Caenorhabditis elegans: one gene and its partners. The protein of the gene in region 2 purifies or fractionates together with the protein of the main gene of each other region. This does not show direct contact. Each region holds a gene or a part of one and is shown on either strand. Other genes may lie near its edges.

What was found.
Region 1: the proteins of hsp-60 (region 2) and spg-7 fractionate together in Caenorhabditis elegans (co-fractionation; one large-scale study listed by BioGRID). This does not show direct contact.
Region 3: the proteins of hsp-60 (region 2) and hrg-11.2 fractionate together in Caenorhabditis elegans (co-fractionation; one large-scale study listed by BioGRID). This does not show direct contact.

Annotation. Positions count from the first base shown.
Region 1 is NC_003279.8:3,465,431-3,470,133, forward strand, and holds the start of spg-7 (AFG3-like protein spg-7), read left to right. Parts: upstream 1-1,701; 5' UTR 1,702-1,703; coding exon 1,704-1,823; intron 1,824-1,872; coding exon 1,873-2,035; intron 2,036-2,077; coding exon 2,078-2,150; intron 2,151-2,691; exon of another isoform or gene 2,692-2,757; intron 2,758-3,855; coding exon 3,856-4,054; intron 4,055-4,111; coding exon 4,112-4,236; intron 4,237-4,703. Other genes in the region: Y47G6A.14 (RING-type domain-containing protein), read right to left, coding at 1-68, 123-221, 279-348, 394-490, 534-579, 628-755, 807-858.
Region 2 is NC_003281.10:1,617,965-1,625,758, reverse strand, and holds the start of hsp-60 (Chaperonin homolog Hsp-60, mitochondrial), read right to left. Parts: upstream 6,018-7,794; 5' UTR 6,001-6,017; coding exon 5,854-6,000; intron 5,705-5,853; coding exon 5,396-5,704; intron 4,333-5,395; coding exon 3,940-4,332; intron 2,701-3,939; coding exon 2,323-2,700; intron 1,326-2,322; coding exon 1,008-1,325; intron 515-1,007; coding exon 353-514; 3' UTR 1-352. Other genes in the region: Y22D7AL.10 (10 kDa heat shock protein, mitochondrial), read left to right, coding at 6,837-6,863, 6,916-7,029, 7,369-7,488. UniProt on the Caenorhabditis elegans protein: Implicated in mitochondrial protein import and macromolecular assembly. May facilitate the correct folding of imported proteins.
Region 3 is NC_003284.9:3,232,407-3,237,055, forward strand, and holds the start of hrg-11.2 (C-type LECtin), read right to left. Parts: upstream 3,003-4,649; 5' UTR 3,001-3,002; coding exon 2,821-3,000; intron 2,776-2,820; coding exon 2,664-2,775; intron 2,615-2,663; coding exon 1,992-2,614; intron 1,948-1,991; coding exon 1,887-1,947; intron 1,842-1,886; coding exon 1,671-1,841; intron 1,527-1,670; coding exon 1,455-1,526; intron 1,412-1,454; coding exon 1,220-1,411; intron 1,129-1,219; coding exon 1,011-1,128; intron 956-1,010; coding exon 835-955; intron 782-834; coding exon 638-781; intron 594-637; coding exon 1-593. Other genes in the region: Protein irg-7, read right to left, coding at 3,505-3,538, 3,586-3,789, 3,833-4,149, 4,194-4,277, 4,324-4,469, 4,513-4,649.

The sequences.
Region 1 (4,703 bases), on a different chromosome or scaffold from region 2:
AACGACGATTCGAGCTCAATTCTCAGAAGAGAAATACTTGTAAGCTGGCTTGCGAAGTTCATTCCGGACTGAAAATTTACAATTTTAAGTCTTTTCTTTACAAATAAATTTTTTAAATATACCGCAACCGGGAAATAAGCCACAGTCTCGTGGCCCTGTGTGACATGAGATCGCAGTGCACAACTTCCACAAAGCGCCAACGATTTGATATCCAAATCCACCTTAAAAAATCATTTTTCAATTTTTTTTTTTTTTTTGAAATTGGATATTTTCCGGACCTCGGCACCCAAATTCTCCACGACGTCGTATTTGAAGGCATCAGTGACGCAATTGCGGCAGACGAACATGCTGGAAATTGAATTTTTTTGTTATTTCTAATTAAAAGAGGCCTACTCCGATTCGTTGTCGTATTTGGTGCATTGAGTGCAGTCCACTGCATTTGCAGGCTTCTTTGGCTTCTCACGAAGCTTTTGGATCATGGTCACAGCATCTGAAAAATAGTTTTTTTCGGGAAATATGAATATTTTTAAAACTTGTCAATGCAAAGTTTTTTGTTCGCTTCTCCTTGCTAACCACGGCCTGAAATTATTTTATTTTTAAACAGATATCAATATATTTAAGCCATACGCGGCATGTCGGGCATTGTGTCTGGCCACCAGATCCATATGCGTCAGAATAATCGCTTTTCAAGTGCACAATGCAAGTTTCGCATAGAGAATGGCCACAAGATATGATGAATGGAGCCTTTTGATCATCTGAAAATAAAAATGTGCTTGTTTTACAATAAAAATTGGGATATTTTTCACCAAATTCTTCCTGGCACACAGGGCAAGTCGGGAGTTCTTCATTAACATCCATTTTTCTCGAAAATTCTGAAAAATAAAGTTTTTTAAATTAGAAAAATCAATATTTTTAAATTTTCGTTATTTTTAATCGTCGAATAATTGAAATTTTCGTTTAAAATTAAGGAAAAACAATTTATACAATTTATATCCGGAAAAATTAATGTTTTTGCAAATATTTGAGTTTCAAGCGTTTTCGCTTCAAGTCTCAAGGAGGATAATGTGCTTGCGCCTTTAAAAACTACAGTAAGACCTTTGTTTATTTCGTCATCGAATTTCAATGTTTTGAATCAAATTTCCCGTGATTCCGGTTTGATTTTCACAATTTTATTATGTTTTTACACTATTTAATGAATTTTAATTCAGTATATAATAAAATCCATAGATTATCCACACTGAAAATCTACCAATACCGTCAGTTTCTCAAAAAAAAAACATTTGCCCAAAAAATGCCTGTTTTCCATGGAAATTCACATTGATTTTTAATTTCACAACGTTTTTTTTGCCAATTTCTTTCCAAAATTTCTCAAAGTACTTTCGCAAACTAATCGTTCACTTTTGCGTCATGGCTCTGTGCACTGGAAACTAATTTCAAACGACGCGCGCATTGTCTTGTGCGATGGAGCGCGCTTGCTATTTTCTAAAAAGTGCTCAGTATTTTTGAAGCTTTATGGTTTTTCCTTGTATTTTGCATAATTTTAAACATTTTTCTCGAGAAAAAATATTCGAAAAAGTAGAAAACGGCTGAAATTTGGTTGTTTTTAATTTTTTCCCTCGTTCCTCAATCTTAAAATCGAAGATTTCGTCATCTCTCACTGTTTGCGCAGTGCATGATTATGATAATTAAATTCTATTGCAGAAATGTGGCGATTATACCGAAAAACGCCGAAGCAGCTGAGAAATTCGGTCGAATCATGCTTCAAATCTGTCAATTCCCGCCAATTTTCAGTCAGCTCATTTTCAGCAGTAGCCAAAGATGATGTAATATTACCGCCTGCCAGTATACTGAAAATTCTGAATTTTTTTGCAGAAATCCGTGCTAAAACAACAAGAAGTTCTGCATCTTCTCGCAAAAGATCAGCGATTTGAAGAGCGATTCTTCAATCAAGTACAGCAGACAATTCGATATTTCGCCTCGAAACCAAATGATTTGAAAAAGTTCTTCAGGAAGGAAGCATCGACGGATAATAAAGGTTTTCAGAGGGAAATTATCATTAATTCGAAGTTTTTTCCAGAATCTTCATCATCTTCTGACAAAAAGGACAGCAAAGGAAATAAGGGAGAGGATAATAATCCGTTTAATCAATTGTGAGGAGGAATAGACACAAAAATCGGCTAATTTTGGCTAAAATCTGAAATTTCGCCCAAATTATCATCATTTAGATGCTTTTCACCACGTTATTTTGTTTATTGAAGTCTCGGAGAAGCCCCGGAAATCATTTCTAGTCGAATTTCTTTGGAGTATTTCAAAAAATTGACTTTTACAGGTTTCCCGGGCCGTATTTTGAACTTTTTGGCAAAAATTGTCCCAAAGATCCGGAAAAAACTTGTAAAATCCAATATTTTTAAAATAAATTGGTGATTTTAGCTAAAATTAGCAGTTTTTTTAAAAAGTTTTATTGGCAGAGCAAAAACCGTGCCAGAGTTGCAAAAATTGGCGTTTTTAGCATTTTCTCCATTTTTCCAGATTTTCAAAAATCGAAAATTCGGGATTTCGGAATCATTTCAATAAAATTCAAAATTTAATGAAATCACGAATTTTCCAAATCGTTGAAAAAAAATTCCGAGAAAAAAAAAACAAAAAAACGCCCATTTTTGCAATTCTGGCACGGTTTTTTGCTCCGCCCACGATGTTTTTGAGCGGGGCACCACGTTTTCAAGATCTACGAGAAGAAGATCTACGTTTTCAGGATCTGGCACCGTGCCAAGTGCAGTTTTCGCAGTTTTCTCGAAGAAAATCGAAATAACGATGCTCCGATATTACGCATCGCGAGTTGTTTAGCGTTTTTCAGAAGTTTTTATTCAAAAAAGGTTTTTCTGACTAAACAACGTGCGATGCGTAATATCGGAGCATCGTTGCTTTTTCTTCGAGTAGACTGCGAAAACCGCAGTTGGCATGGTGCCAGATCCTGAAAATGTAGACCTCCTTTTCGTAGATCTCGTTTCCGGCTAGATCTTGAAAACGTGGTGCCTCTTTTGAGCACATTTACCTTTTCTAAGATTTAAAAGTGGGGTACCGAAATCTGGAAAATATTTTCAAATGTCTCCAAATTTTCTTCTCATTCCAAATATCGATGTGAAAAAAATCAAAACAATTTTCTAGATTTTATATGATTTTTTGAAAATAGGAAAAATCACAGTTTTCACCTAATTATTTTTGAATTTCCGCCAATTGGATTTGTTCGGTGGAGCGTGCTTGCAGTATTTTTATCAATTAATTTTTTTAAATTCTTGTTCTTTGACTGATTTTCTTCATTTTCTATGTTTTCTCCTCGGAAAATGGAAGAAATAAACAAGACAAATGCAAAATTCTTGTTAAAAAGTAATTGAAAATGAGTAAAACTGTGAAATATACTAATTTCAGGCTTGTTGCCGTCGGAACTCAGAATATCACAGTTTTACTCATTTTCAATTACTTTTTAACAAAAATGTTGCATTTGTCTTTTTTATTTCTTCCATTTTCCGAGGAAAAAACATAGAAAATGAAGAAAATCAGTCAAATAACGAGAATAAATAAAATTAATAAATAAAAATAATGCAAGTGCGCTCCACCGAACAAATTCAATTGGCGGAAATTCAAAAATAATTAGGTGAAAACTGTGATTTTTCCAATTTTCAAAAAATCATATAAAATCTGGAAAATTTTTTTGAATTTTAATATCATGATATTCGGTCAATGTGACCCCATAGGCGCGTTTTAAAGCAATTTACCCACTGAGCGTAGTCCACCTTTAAAAAAACGGAGAAAACCTCTAAAACCCCTTAAAATCAATCTAATTCCTCCAATTTTCAGCCCAGGAGGATGGCAACAAATTGCCGTTTCAGTTGGAATTCTGCTCGCTCTCTACGCCTTTATGGATTATCAGTCGTATCGTGAAATTTCCTGGAAGGAGTTTTACAGTGATTTCCTGGAAGCTGGACTTGTCGAGAGACTTGAAGTAGTTGATAAGCGATGGGTTCGAATTGTTAGCTCGTCTGGAAAGTATGCAGGAGTTAGTTTTTTAGTTTTTGCACTGAAATTCGTGAAAAAATGAATTTTTTTCTTTCAGCAAACGTGCTATTTCAACATCGGAAGTGTGGATAGCTTCGAACGGAGCCTCGGAGCTGCTCAGCATCATCTCCAGTATGATGCTGATCGACAAATTCCGGTTTTATATAAATCTGAATTCAATTTGTAAGGATTTCTGCAAAAATCACTCCATTTCAAGAAAAATTAGAGAAAAAAAGAAAAAACCCCCGATTTTCTTAAAGAAAAAGCTCTGGGAAATGGGAAAAGTTATAATTTTTGCATGAAAATTCAGAAAAACTTTTAATTTTTCACATTTTTTGTAGTTAAAATTTTGTTTTTAAAGTGAAAACCTTCAGAAAGTCACTGAAAATGAAAATTTTGCACAAAAATTATGGAAAAAGTTGCTTTTTGCTCGTTTTTTGCACTAAAATTTCAAAAAAAAAATCCGATTTTTCTGATTTTTTGCCTGAAAATTTCAAAAACAAAAATTAATTTTGCTGGTTTTTTGCAGAAAAATTTTTAAAAAAACGCAGTTAGGCTGTTTTTTGCCTAAAAATTCGAGAAAATCTCAATTTTGCTGAATTTTTGCACTAAAAGTCTTTTAAAAAATCCGATGTTTCTGATTTTTTGCC
Region 2 (7,794 bases):
GGTGGGGAGGAGAGTGAAAACAAAGAAAAAAACGGAAAAAAAAAACAAGGAGATTCTATATATTATACTCTAAAAACAAGGGGAAAAACACTAAACTAAAAAAAATTGAGGTCCTAAAATTGCGAAAAAATTAAAAAAAAAAACACCATTGAAAAGTTATCATCAAAAAAAGGGGAAAAAGAGCCGTAAAACAAGAAAAAAACAAATGGCTCAGAGCACAAAAGATCATAATTTTTTTGGGGAAATTTTTGGGGAAAAAATGATGGGAAAAACGACAAAATTGAGCAAAAACCAGTGTTTTAGAGAGAAAATCAATCCATCGGTGTCGTTATTTCAATGAGAGATTGAGAGCTTAGAATCCCATTCCTCCCATACCGCCCATTCCACCCATTCCACCCATTCCACCGGCTGGTCCACCAACTGCTTCTTCCTTTGGAATTTCGGTGACTACGCATTCGGTTGTGGCGAGAAGTGAGGCGACTCCTGAAGCATCTTGGAGAGCTGTGCGAACCACCTGGAAATTTGGAAAATTGCGGTTTTTGGGGAGATTTTTTTTTGCATAAAAATTTTCGATTTTTCTTGAAATGTTGAATTTTCAGGGTTTTTTTTTCCAAAAAAAAAAAAAAGACGGCCAGAAGCAATTTTTTTCCATTTTTTGACCAATTTTTGAACTACTTTCAAATAATTTCTGCTGAAAAACTCCAATTTTTGGCTGAAAAATTTAAATTTTCACGTAAAATCCAAATTTTCCGCCTGAAAACTTCAAATTTTCAAGAAAATTCCTAATTTTTGGCTTAAAAATGAAAATTTTCAGTGAAATAATGCAATTTTTGGCTAAAACATTAAAATTTTGGAGGAAAATCCAAATTTTTGGCTCAAAAATTCAAATTTTCACGAAAAATTCAAATTTTTTGGCTAAAAATTCAAATTTTGGAGGTAAATCCAAAATTTTTGTCTCAAAAATTCAAATTTTCACGAAAAATTCAAATTTTTGACGCTGTATATACCTTAGTTGGATCGATAATTCCAGCCTCGAACATGTCAACGAACTTTCCGTTGAGCGCATCATAACCATATGATGTATTGCTGTTTCCGGTGACTTCATCAATAATCGACGATGGCTCAAGACCGGCATTTTTGACGATTGTGGCGATTGGCTGAGTGAGAGCCTTCTTGACGATATTCACACCGATCTGTTGATCCTCGTTGGCTGCTTTGTAGTTTTTGAGTGCTGTCAGAGATCTGAGAAGAGCAACACCTCCTCCTGGAACGATTCCTTCTTCGACAGCGGCACGCGTGGCACACAGAGCATCGGTGACACGGTCCTGTAATGAAAAAAAAATTGATGAAAAATCATACAAAAAATTGCAGAAAACCGATAAAATCTGGTGGAAATCAAGATTTTTCCGCGCAGGAAAACCAAAATTTCTGCTATTTTTGAGCATGCTCAGCGGGAAAAATCAATTTAACAGTTTTTTCCGCGTTTTTTTATCAATTTTTTCAGTTGAAATTGCGAAAAAAACAGTTATTTTCGGCTTCTAACAACAAAATTTTAAGTGGCAATTGCGAAAAATTTCGGCTAGAAAGTTCGAATTTTAAGAAACATCCATATTTTTGGCTGAAAATATCAAATTTTCAGGGAAAATCCAATTTTTTGGCTGAAAATATCAAATTTTTAAGGAAAATGCAAAATTTTGTCTGAAAAATTCAAATTGGCAAAATAGCCATTTTTTCGAACCAAAAATCGGCTGGAAATTGCTAAAATCGCAAATTTTAATGTTTTCCGGCAGAAATCTGTAGTTTACACGGCAAAATCAAGCTGAAAATGATCGACTAAAAAATTCTAACTTTCAAGAAAAATCCAAATTTTTGGCTGAAAAAATCAAATTTTCAAGAAAAATTCAAATTTTTGGCTGAAAAATTCAGATTTTTGGCTAAAAAAATTCAAATTTGTAAGAAAAAGTCAGATTGTTTAAATAAAAATTTAAATTTTCAAGAAAAATCTGCAGATTTAGTGGGTTTCTTTCACAAAAATGGGGGAATTTACCATAAATTTTACTCGAAAGGAGCACAAAGAGAATCTTGCGTTTTGTTGCAAATAAAAATAAAAAACTGAGTTTTAACGAGTTTCCAATGGCACAAACGGCACAAAAAAGGTTTTAAAATCAGGTTTCTCGACAAAAATCTGGTAGAAATTGAGGTTTTTTTAAACCAATTTTCTGCTAAAAAAAGCTCAAAAATGAACGGATTTTGATCATTTTCCCACGGAAAATAGCCAGTTTTTCTTCAATTTTTCTCCAATTTCAGCCAAATTCCGCACACCTTCTTCTCTCCAACTTCAACTTCAGATCCTCCTCCAATCTTGAGCACAGCGACTCCCTTGCTCAACTTGGCGAGACGCTCATTAAGCTTCTCCTTCTCGTAATCGCTCGTCGATTGCTCAATTTCATCGGTGATGTGCTCGATTCGCTTCTCGATCTCTGTTTGATCTCCACGCCCGCGAAGAAGAAGAGTATCGTCCTTGGTGATGGTGACCTCATCGACTTCTCCGAGATCGTTGGCTGTGATATCCTCGATCTTAATGAGATTCGAGTCATCTCCAAAGATCGTTGCTCCCGTCGCAATTCCCATATCCTTGAGCGTGTTCTTGCGGTTATCTCCGAATCCTGGAGCCTTGATTGCGACGACTTGAAGTCCGACCTGGAAGAGAAAATTCTGCGGTTTTACAGGGTTTTTAGTGAAAAATTAGTTTTTTTTTAAACTTAAAATCGTGGAAAATGATGGAGTTTAGAGGTTTTTCAGTGAAAATATGTATTTTTTAGCAAAAATAGCAAAAATAGACTTTCTCAGAAGTCAATGCGCACTTTTTCACTGATAAAAATGGAAAATTATGTAGAATACTGAATAAATCCGACCTGGAAGAAAATTCTGCGGTTTTAAAGGTTTTTCAGTGTAAAACACATTAATTAACTTTAATTTAGCGCGATTTTCAGGTGAAATCTTCATGTTTTTGGAGAAAATCCAGGAAATTATGAAATTTCCTGGCGATTTTCTTGCTGAATCCCTAGTTTCTTCTGCTTTTTTTCTATTTTCTTGCCGTAAAATTTGTAAAACTCTCTCAACTGATAAGAAAAAGAAGATATATTATCATTCTCTAATCAAGGTCGCTCGTATTTTGTTGCGAGTAGCCTCCTGCTGCTAACAAACATCACTGATCAAAAAATGCTCGCGGTTCTTTGAACTTGAATTTTCTGATAAAAATTCAAGTTTTCTAGGCTAAAAACGTGAATTTCCGGGGATTTTTTGGACGAATACAAAATTTTTGCAGCATTTTTAGCCATTTTTCAGTCGAAATTGGCAAAAAAACACATTTTTTCGAACCAAAAATCGGGATATTAAAAGTTTTTAATGCCAAAATAAGTAATTTCCGGCAGAAATCTGTAGTTTCCAAAAGTTTGTAAAATCAAGCTGAAACTGATCCGAAAAACAGTAATTTTCGGCTTTTAAACGAATTTTTCAGTCGAAATTGCGAAAAATTTTGGCTGGAAAGTTCGAATTTCAAGAAGAATCAAAATTTTTGGGTGGAAAATTCAACATTTCAGGAGAAATCCAAATTCTTGGCTGAAAAATTGAAGTTTTCAAGAAAAATCCAAATTTTTGGCTGAAAAATTCAAAATTTCAGGGAAAATCCAAATTCCTGGCTGAAAAATTCAAAATTTCAAGAGAAATCCAAATTCCTGGCTGAAAATTTCGAATTTTGTACTTTTTTTTCGTATTTGGGGGTAAACTAATCAAGAAAACGTCGGGTTTCAGCAAATTTCGCATTTTTCTCCGTATTTGGGGGCAATAATCGAAATAACGCGAATTTCCGTCAAAAAATGGAGTTTCAACGCTGGTTTTCGACAAAATTTGCAGTTTTTCGCTTCTTGTCGTCTGTACCTTAAGTCTATTAAGAACAAGAGTGGTAAGAGCCTCTCCATCAACATCCTCGGCAATGATAACCAATGGACGGCGGAGCTTGTTGGCGAGCTCAAGAGCCGGCACAATATCCTGAACTTGGCTGATCTTCTTCTCGCTCAACAAGACAAGAGCCTTCTCGTACTCGACTTTAGCTCCTTTCGCAGAGGTGATAAAGTACGGCGAGATGTATCCTCTGTCGAACTTCATTCCCTCGATAAGCTCGAGCTCATCGTTCAGCGTTTTTCCGTCCTTAACAGTGATGACTCCAGTGGTTCCGACCTTCTTCATGGCGTCACTGATGAGATTTCCGACGACGGTGTCTCCATTGGCGGAAATTGTGGCGACTTGAGCGATCTCTTCGGGGGTGGTGACCTGCAGGAACAAGTTTTTTTTAGTTAAATTATTGCTAAATTTAGTTTTTTTTCTGATTTTTTAGGTTTCTAGGCGCGATTTTTGGTTTAAAACAAGTAAAAATTCAGGTATATCGAGCAAATATAGTCAGAAATAGTCGCGATTTCCCTACAAATCTGTGAATTTTTGGCCATTTTTTCGGGATATTAGGGCTTTTTCATTCAAACAACAAGCTTTTCGTCCTGAATTGGGTAAAAAATAGTGGCTTTTCAAGGTTTTTCAGGGCAAATCAGTGAAATTTTGTCAGCTTTCCGGATTTTTAAGGTTTTTCCGTCAAACAAAATAAGATTTTCGTTCTGAATTGGGTAAAAATTGCGGGGTTTCTATGGATTTTGGCCAAAAATTCGATATTTTCAGCTTTTCAGGCCAACATTGAATGAATACCGCTTCAAAATTGGATCAGAGCTCACAACTGTTTGAAAAAACACGAAATTTTGCAAATTTTCCGGGATATTAGGTGCTTTCGTCCTGAATTGGGGAAAATTGCGGGTTTTTATTGATTTTGGCCAAAAATTCGATATTTTCAGCTTTTCAGGCCAACATTGAATGAAAAATTGCATCAGAGCTGCCAATTGTTCCAAAAAGCACCACATTTTGGCGAACTTTTTGAATTTTCAAGGTTTTTCGAGACAAATCAGTGAAAATTTGTAATTTTTCGGGAATATTCGGGTTTTTCCGTCAAACAATAAGCTTTTCGTCCTGAGTAGGGGAAAAATGACGGTTTTTCAAGATTTTCAGAGCAAATCAGTGAAATTTTGTCAGTTTTCCGGAATATGAAGGTTTTTCCGTCGAACAAATAAGCTTTATGGCCCGAATTGGGAAAAAATGACGGTTTTTTGAAGATTTTGAATTCCTGGCAACTGATTTTAGCCACAAATTCGCGATTTTCAAGCAGATTTGAGCGAAATTCTAGTTTTTCCTCTAACATCAAATGAAAATCGCTTCAAAATTGGGTCAAAAATCCCAATTTTTCCAAAAATCACTGTGGCTTTTGAATTTAAATCCACAATTTCCCGGTATTAACCTTCTTGGAGATCTTCTTGAGCTCTGCAACGACGACTTCGACGGCGTTCATGACTCCACGACGGATCTCGACAGCGTTTCCGCCTTGACGAATGCTCTCGAATCCCTCTTTGGCGATGGCTCTGGCGAGAACTGTGGCGCAGGTGGTTCCGTCTCCAGCCTCCTCATTAGCCTTGTTGGCGACATCTTGAATGAGCTTGGCTCCCAGGTTCTGGTATTTGTCCTTGAGGTCGATGGATTTCGCGACGGTGACTCCGTCCTTTGTGATCTTTGGGCTTCCCCACGACTGCTCGATGATCACGTTTCTTCCCTGAAAGAGTTTGGAGTTTTAGAGGCTGTATTTATGAAGAAAAAAAAATTAAATTTTGCATTAAACCGGAAGTTTTGTGTATAAAAATACGTTAAAATAGATTTTTTTACAGCATTTTTTCCTCAATTTTCACATCAAAATCCCCGTACTTTTGGGCCCATAGTGACAGAGACGGCGTCGGCGAGCAGGTTGACTCCGACGAGCATGGCCTGTCGTCCTTCGGCTCCGAACTTGACGTCCTTGGCGTAAGATCTGACGACGGCGGTCTGAAGTCCCTTTCTGGCGAGGCGAAGCATCTTTTGTGTCTGAAAAACTACGAAAATTGTGTGAAAATCTGCAGCGGAAAGGCGAAAATGCGAGCAAAATCAGAGTTTCTCATCGAAAATGAAGCGAGAAGCCTTGCATTATCGTCTGAGAAGCAGAAAAGGAGTGAAAAATAACGAGAATGGATGAGAAATCGGCTGGGAAAACGGTAAAACAGATATTTCCCCTAATTTAGACGATAAATGGCCTATAAATAAGCATTTTTCAATCGTTTTTTATGAAAATGAAGCGAGAAGCCTTGCATTATCGTCTGGGAAGCAGGTAATGACTGAAAAATACAGGAATAAATGAGAAAATAGCTGGGAAAACTGTAGAATAGTTTTTTCCCCTAATTTCGACGAAAAATGGCCCAAAAATAAGCATTTTTCAATGGTTTCTGATGAAAATAGAAGCAAAAAACCTCAATTTTTCGTTCAAAATATGAAAAATGAGAGAAAAATAACGAAAATGACGCAAATTTTGATGTAAAATGGCTAATTTACATCAGAATAGACTTTTGCATCATTTCACTCGCTCCGCCCAGTTTTGCAAGGTGCGCACACTTTTCTAGGTGGAGCTGAGCGCGCTGATTGGCTGAATTTGCGGCGCGGTGTCTGCCATTGGCCCGACACGCCTAGATTTGCAAGTTTGCCGCACGAGATTTTTCGCGCCGCACATTTATTTTCTGCTTTTTTTCTCGAAGCTTCTTTTGGTTTTTTGATCATTTTCTGAATTTTCGCGGGTTTCTTCGGGTTTTTTCGTTGTTTTCATGTAATTTCCCGCTAAAAATAAATTTTAAAACTCAAAAAACCAATTTTTCAGCCGAAAAATGTTCCTCACCGCTGTCCGCCGATCGGTAAGCTATTTTCCCGGTGTTTTCTCCGAATTAAACGCGTATTTTTTTGCAGAGCAATGTCCTCAAGACCTTCAAGCCACTCTATGATCGTGTGCTCGTCGAGAGAGTCGCCGCCGAGACCAAGACAAAGGGAGGAATCATGCTCCCGGAGAAGTCACAGGGAAAAGTGAGCAATTTTTGGCCTAAAAATTGATTTTTCAGGTGAAAACTGATAAATTTCAACGTCTTGGAGCAGATTTCTAGCACAAAAATGCCAATTTCACCGTCAAAATGGTGCAACTTGGCGTCTAAAACACAGTTTCTAGCTAAAAACCTTCAATTTTATACGAAAAATGTTAATTTTCACCGAAAATTCCGTAAAGTCTGGTGTAATGATGCAATTATCGATTTTCCCTGCCAACACGCTCTCCGACTGCTCGCGGAGGTTTTTGTCCAATTTTTATCCGAAATTACCGAATTTTCACTCAAATTAAAGCAATTTCCACCTAATTTTCGAATATTTCAGGTCCTTGAAGCCACCGTCGTCTCTGCCGGAGCCGGACTTCGCAACGAGAAGGGAGAGCTCGTCGCATTGACTGTGAAGCCAGGAGATCGTGTCCTTCTCCCAGAATACGGAGGCACCAAGGTACAAAATGCGACGAATTTCGAGCGAAAATATGGATTAATTGGCGAATTTTTAATGTGAAAATCTGAATTTCCGTTGAAATTTCACACAATTTGGACGAAAATCGGGATTTTTTTTAACATTTCAGTGTAAAAGTAGCGTTATATTACTGAAAAGTCATTGAAATCAACGAAAATTGCACAAAAATTGTGTTTTTTCAGCCGAAATCCAAGATTTTTTCAGAAAAATCAGGAAAAATTGTATTAAAATACGATTTTTCCCCCAAAAACTGAATATCACGCGCTTTTCGCTCTAAATTATTGGGGA
Region 3 (4,649 bases), on a different chromosome or scaffold from region 2:
TAGAAGTGGAATTCACAAGCATCTCTGTACATTCCACTTGATCCGTAAACCTCTGTTTGAACTCCGTCGCGGATAGCATAAATCTGAAGATTGGCGTGCACGCGGTCCATAGAAATGAATTCGGGGTAGTTGGAAACATGGAAAACAGGAGAAGCATCAAAACCAGCAACTGGTTGGCGGAGAACTCCGGCTGCAGAAGTGAGGGTAGTTGCGAAAGACCAGAAAATGTCATAGTCTGGATTGTATTGGCTCATTCCACCAAGGTTATACTTCTTCTGGTATACTTTGAAGGTACACGCAGAGTTTGGTGAGTCGGAAACCAAATTGAAGAACCATTGTCCAGCGAAGATTTGGTTGGAGGTCCAAATGTAGTTAACACCATCATTGAATGCAACAAAGAAGTCAGGGTGTGCTCCGGTTGGGGTTGTGACTTGAAGTTTCAAGTTAGATCCTGTAGCAACAACGACAACTTGATCAGCAGTCACGTCAACTGCAACCGATTTGTAGATGTTTTGATTAGCACAGTGAGAGTAATCTCCAGATAGAGCAAGTTGAGAGCGGAACAACGTGTTGTACATATGAACGTAGAAGAACTTAAAATATAATGCATTAATATTAAAGAATTAAAGAAACATACGTTGGAGATAGTGGTTCTGTTGTTAAAGTAGAACGTGTTTCCGCTGGACATCGCAGCCATATCGACCATATCTCTGTACCCAGCACTATCGGGTGAAGTATTGCAGCCACTTCCAATTGCTGGTTGCACGTAAATGAAGTAGACCTGAAACATTCTGGTATTTTCGAATAACTTTAAATTTAATAAATTTTCCATACTGGTGCTCTCCAATAAGATTCCAAGTGTACAATTGTTTGCTTCTCAGTGCTATCATTTGGATTGGCATCAGTGATTACATAGATTGGTGATTTGTTAGTTGGATAAAGAGAAAGAGCAGATCTGTAAAACAACCATGAAGATTCTGTAAAACATTGAAAAACTAGTCGATACTTACGCAACAGCAGAGAAAACAACATCATCACATCCACCGTCGGATGGGGCAGAGTTAATCGCTTTAAGTAGATCAACCATAGCGGCATCCCATGAGTCATATCTCTGGTTTACCAAAAGCTCTAAAAATTAAAATATAATGCATTACCGTTTCCTGATAAGAAGGTAGGCTTATGGGAGCCACCCCGGTAAATTAGTTGCAAATCAACTCACTGGCGTTATCAAAGAGCACAACGATGAAATTAGTGAGATAGCCAGGCTCGGCAGATAGTTCATCGACAATTCTTGAAACTGAATTTGTGGCCTGTTGAATAACATCTGACAATTGGCTTCTAGAACGAATGACCAGAGTAACAGTCGGGTTTTCAGCATTGAAATCAATTCCGGATGCACCAGGGCAGACAACTGTAATGCATTTGTGATCAGTTTATTTTCCGAGGCGACTTACTATTTTGACAGTGGAAACCGGTGAATCCTTCTGGACATTCACAATGTTCGCTTGTGGGAGTTGGAAGGAATCCTGAAAAATAAAATATTTGATGACCAATTTAGGCTGGCTCAAAAAAGTGTCCTTTTTAGAAGGTTGTCTTTGTGTTATCAACCATGTAGCACATCAATGGCAACATAGCGTTTTCTATTTAACAGCTCTAGTTACAGTATTCACCTCCATTAGCACACAACATCTGAGAACAGTCACGTCCGGTGTATAGTCCAAAACAGTAACAGTATGGTGAACCACTGGAATCCTTCAAAACTTGACCTCCGTTCTGGCAGGTTGTCAATGGAGCAGCGGTTGTTGTTGGAGCAGGGACAGTGGTGGTAGACACTGGTGGCACTAAATTACTCAGGTTGATTATTGTTGTCAACTACGTTCACTTACAAATACATTGGTAGGGCAGAATACGACGGAAAACGTATCCGTTATCGCTCATTCCTTCAACCTGAACTTTTATGATTGCAATTTATATCAATTCATTGCACTTACCTGTAATAAATTGTGCCCAATATCGTTATTTCCAATTTTTCTGCAAGTATACCTCTCCAAAATATATGGATAAGTACAATTGAAGCGAGTTGCCATAGGAATGTATCTTGAGATATGGTTCTCGGCGCCAGTGAATCCAATCGCCTGAATTTGACCGGGAAAGTGTAGTCCTTGTGCATGAAGAACAACAGCTGATTCAGTGTCAAAATAGGCAAACTTGAGGGTTGGATAGTCGCTGCGCTCTGGTTGATCGCCTGATGTAAAACCTCCAGTAACTTGAATATTGGTATGAGCGGTCATCATCATAGTACAAAATTCATCTCCAGAATCAGCTCTTGGTCCGAGAAGATACTGGCCTGGCGCTAAAGTCTCATATGTTGCCACATAGGAAGTTACGGTTTTTCTGTCAGTGTCAGGGAAGATCAGATCTCCACTCTCAGATTGGAGGTAGAAAGTTGGATTCAATGGTGACTCAGTTTCGACCTCAATTTTGATATTCCGCATGGTCTCATCAACAACAACGACGTATGTTTGACTGCAGTTTGCAAGATTTGTTGCATCAATAGAGATATCGTCAGAATCCTTGTTATCAGGAATGTAAGGATTGCGAGCAGAGCACAATGCTAAGAAATTGCATTTTTAGTTTAAAAACACATATGTGATCCGACTTACGATATTGACAGGTGGCTCCTGTGTATCCTGGCTTGTTACATCCTCTGGTGGCCATTCCAGCAAAAACATGAGGCTCGGCGATAGATCTTTTGGAGATATGATGAGTATCAACCTGAAACCATATATGGAACATAGTTAAACGAAATCTAGAACTTACAAAGAGATCGGACTGCTCATCGAATTGAATCTTCTGTTCACTGACTGGGTGGAAGAGTTGATTACTGTTGGCCGGGTTCCATGACTTTAAGACTTTGCGGATTCTCTCTTTGTGACTGAGCTCAGGCTCAGCGCCCAGGCAGATCACGGCTAACGCCGCAATCAAAACCCAGCTTCTCATTACTGAAATTTCACATTAATTTAATTGCTCTTAAACTCCAAAAAAACTAAATATCGTAAAAGGTATTGAGTTCTGAAAATGAATGTGAAAAGGCAGGAGCAGCCTGGCAAATCTAATGAAATTATCATGAAATAATGATTTAAACCCTTTTTAATCGCAAAAGGAGAGTGTGTCCGGCACGTCATATCACCGTGGCAAACTCTTATCTTTGCCATCTCAAACAGTATTAAAATTTATTCCACGCCCTTTGCATTCTAATTGAGTAGTAGCAGAATAATGTCACAGAATACGATTTTGTATCATCAAATTATTATCAAGCACTTTCTGATGATTTCGACTTGAAGTTCAACCACTAGTAAAGTTTATTGAATTGCCATCACATTTCACTTTTGTATTATATTTTTTCTCTCGTAATTTTGATTTTTCGGTCCAACACATAAATTGTTAAATAATGATAAGTTTATTAAAATTCAAATTATTTCAGTGATTTCCGGGTCGACTGCCTTAGTTGTTGATACAGTAGACACCTCCATTGGCGCTGAAAATAAGAACATTTCACTTAATGAACACACTTATATATCTTACTTGGCATTGAGGATAAGTTGCTGAATGGTCTTAATTTGGTTATTCAAACTAGCAAAATCTGGAGCTGTAAACGAGCAAGCACTTCCTCCGGAAATAGTTTGCAACTTGTTGTTATCAGTCGCGCCACCATAACCAATAGTGATGATTCCGTATTGCTTCTGCGCGAGAATTGTCTGAGCTGCCGGAGTTGGATCGGTGTCGAAGCTAAAAAATATTAATTTTATCTGGCAATCTTTTGAACACTTACGCAGTAGTTGTAGTAAGGTAGATCAACACATGGTTGCTAATGCCACTACGGTAACCATTGTTCGCCGCCATGAAATCGGGAGAAGACACAATTTGAAGAGTGTAGTTAAGAATTTGCCCGGCGTCTTCAAAGTCAGTGTAGCCACCGCTGAGTTGGGCCAAGTTAGAGTTCAACATTGCTTGAGAGGAGAGGGAGTTCAGATTGGCAGCAGGAGGAATTGGGTTTGTGATATCACCTCCGACGACAATTAATCCAACACGAGCTCCACTCTGGCCAACATTGAACGAAACCATGAATGTTTGAACAAATTTGGTGAGCTGAAATTCATATGATGGAAACATAAAGGGCATATAATGTATACCGAGTCAAAGCTGGATTGTGCACTTTGTGATCCATCGATCATAAATACAACATCAAACTGAGCGGATGTGTATGGATTTTGGGTCTGTAAGTTCAGAATTTCTAAATCACCAGTAATACTTGAAATTTACCGTGGCGACTGGTCCCTGAGTTGGTTGAGTTCCTGGGACTTGAGTTTGCTGAGTTACTGGACCTTGAGTCAGCGCGGTTTGTTGAGTTGGCATGGTGATTGGGCCAATTGTTCCTGTTGCTGGCTGGTTGGTTGTTGGGCTACGTCCTGAAAAATTTCTTGCACAATTAAACAAGTAAGCGTATATTACCATTGCAGATGACAATTTCTTGTCTTCTGAACTTTTGGTTTGCTTCATCAACTCCATGAACATAGACGGCAATCATGTCGCCGTTGCAAGTGAACAAATCAGAGTAGTACTCGTAAGAGCAGCCTGCTCGAACGTAG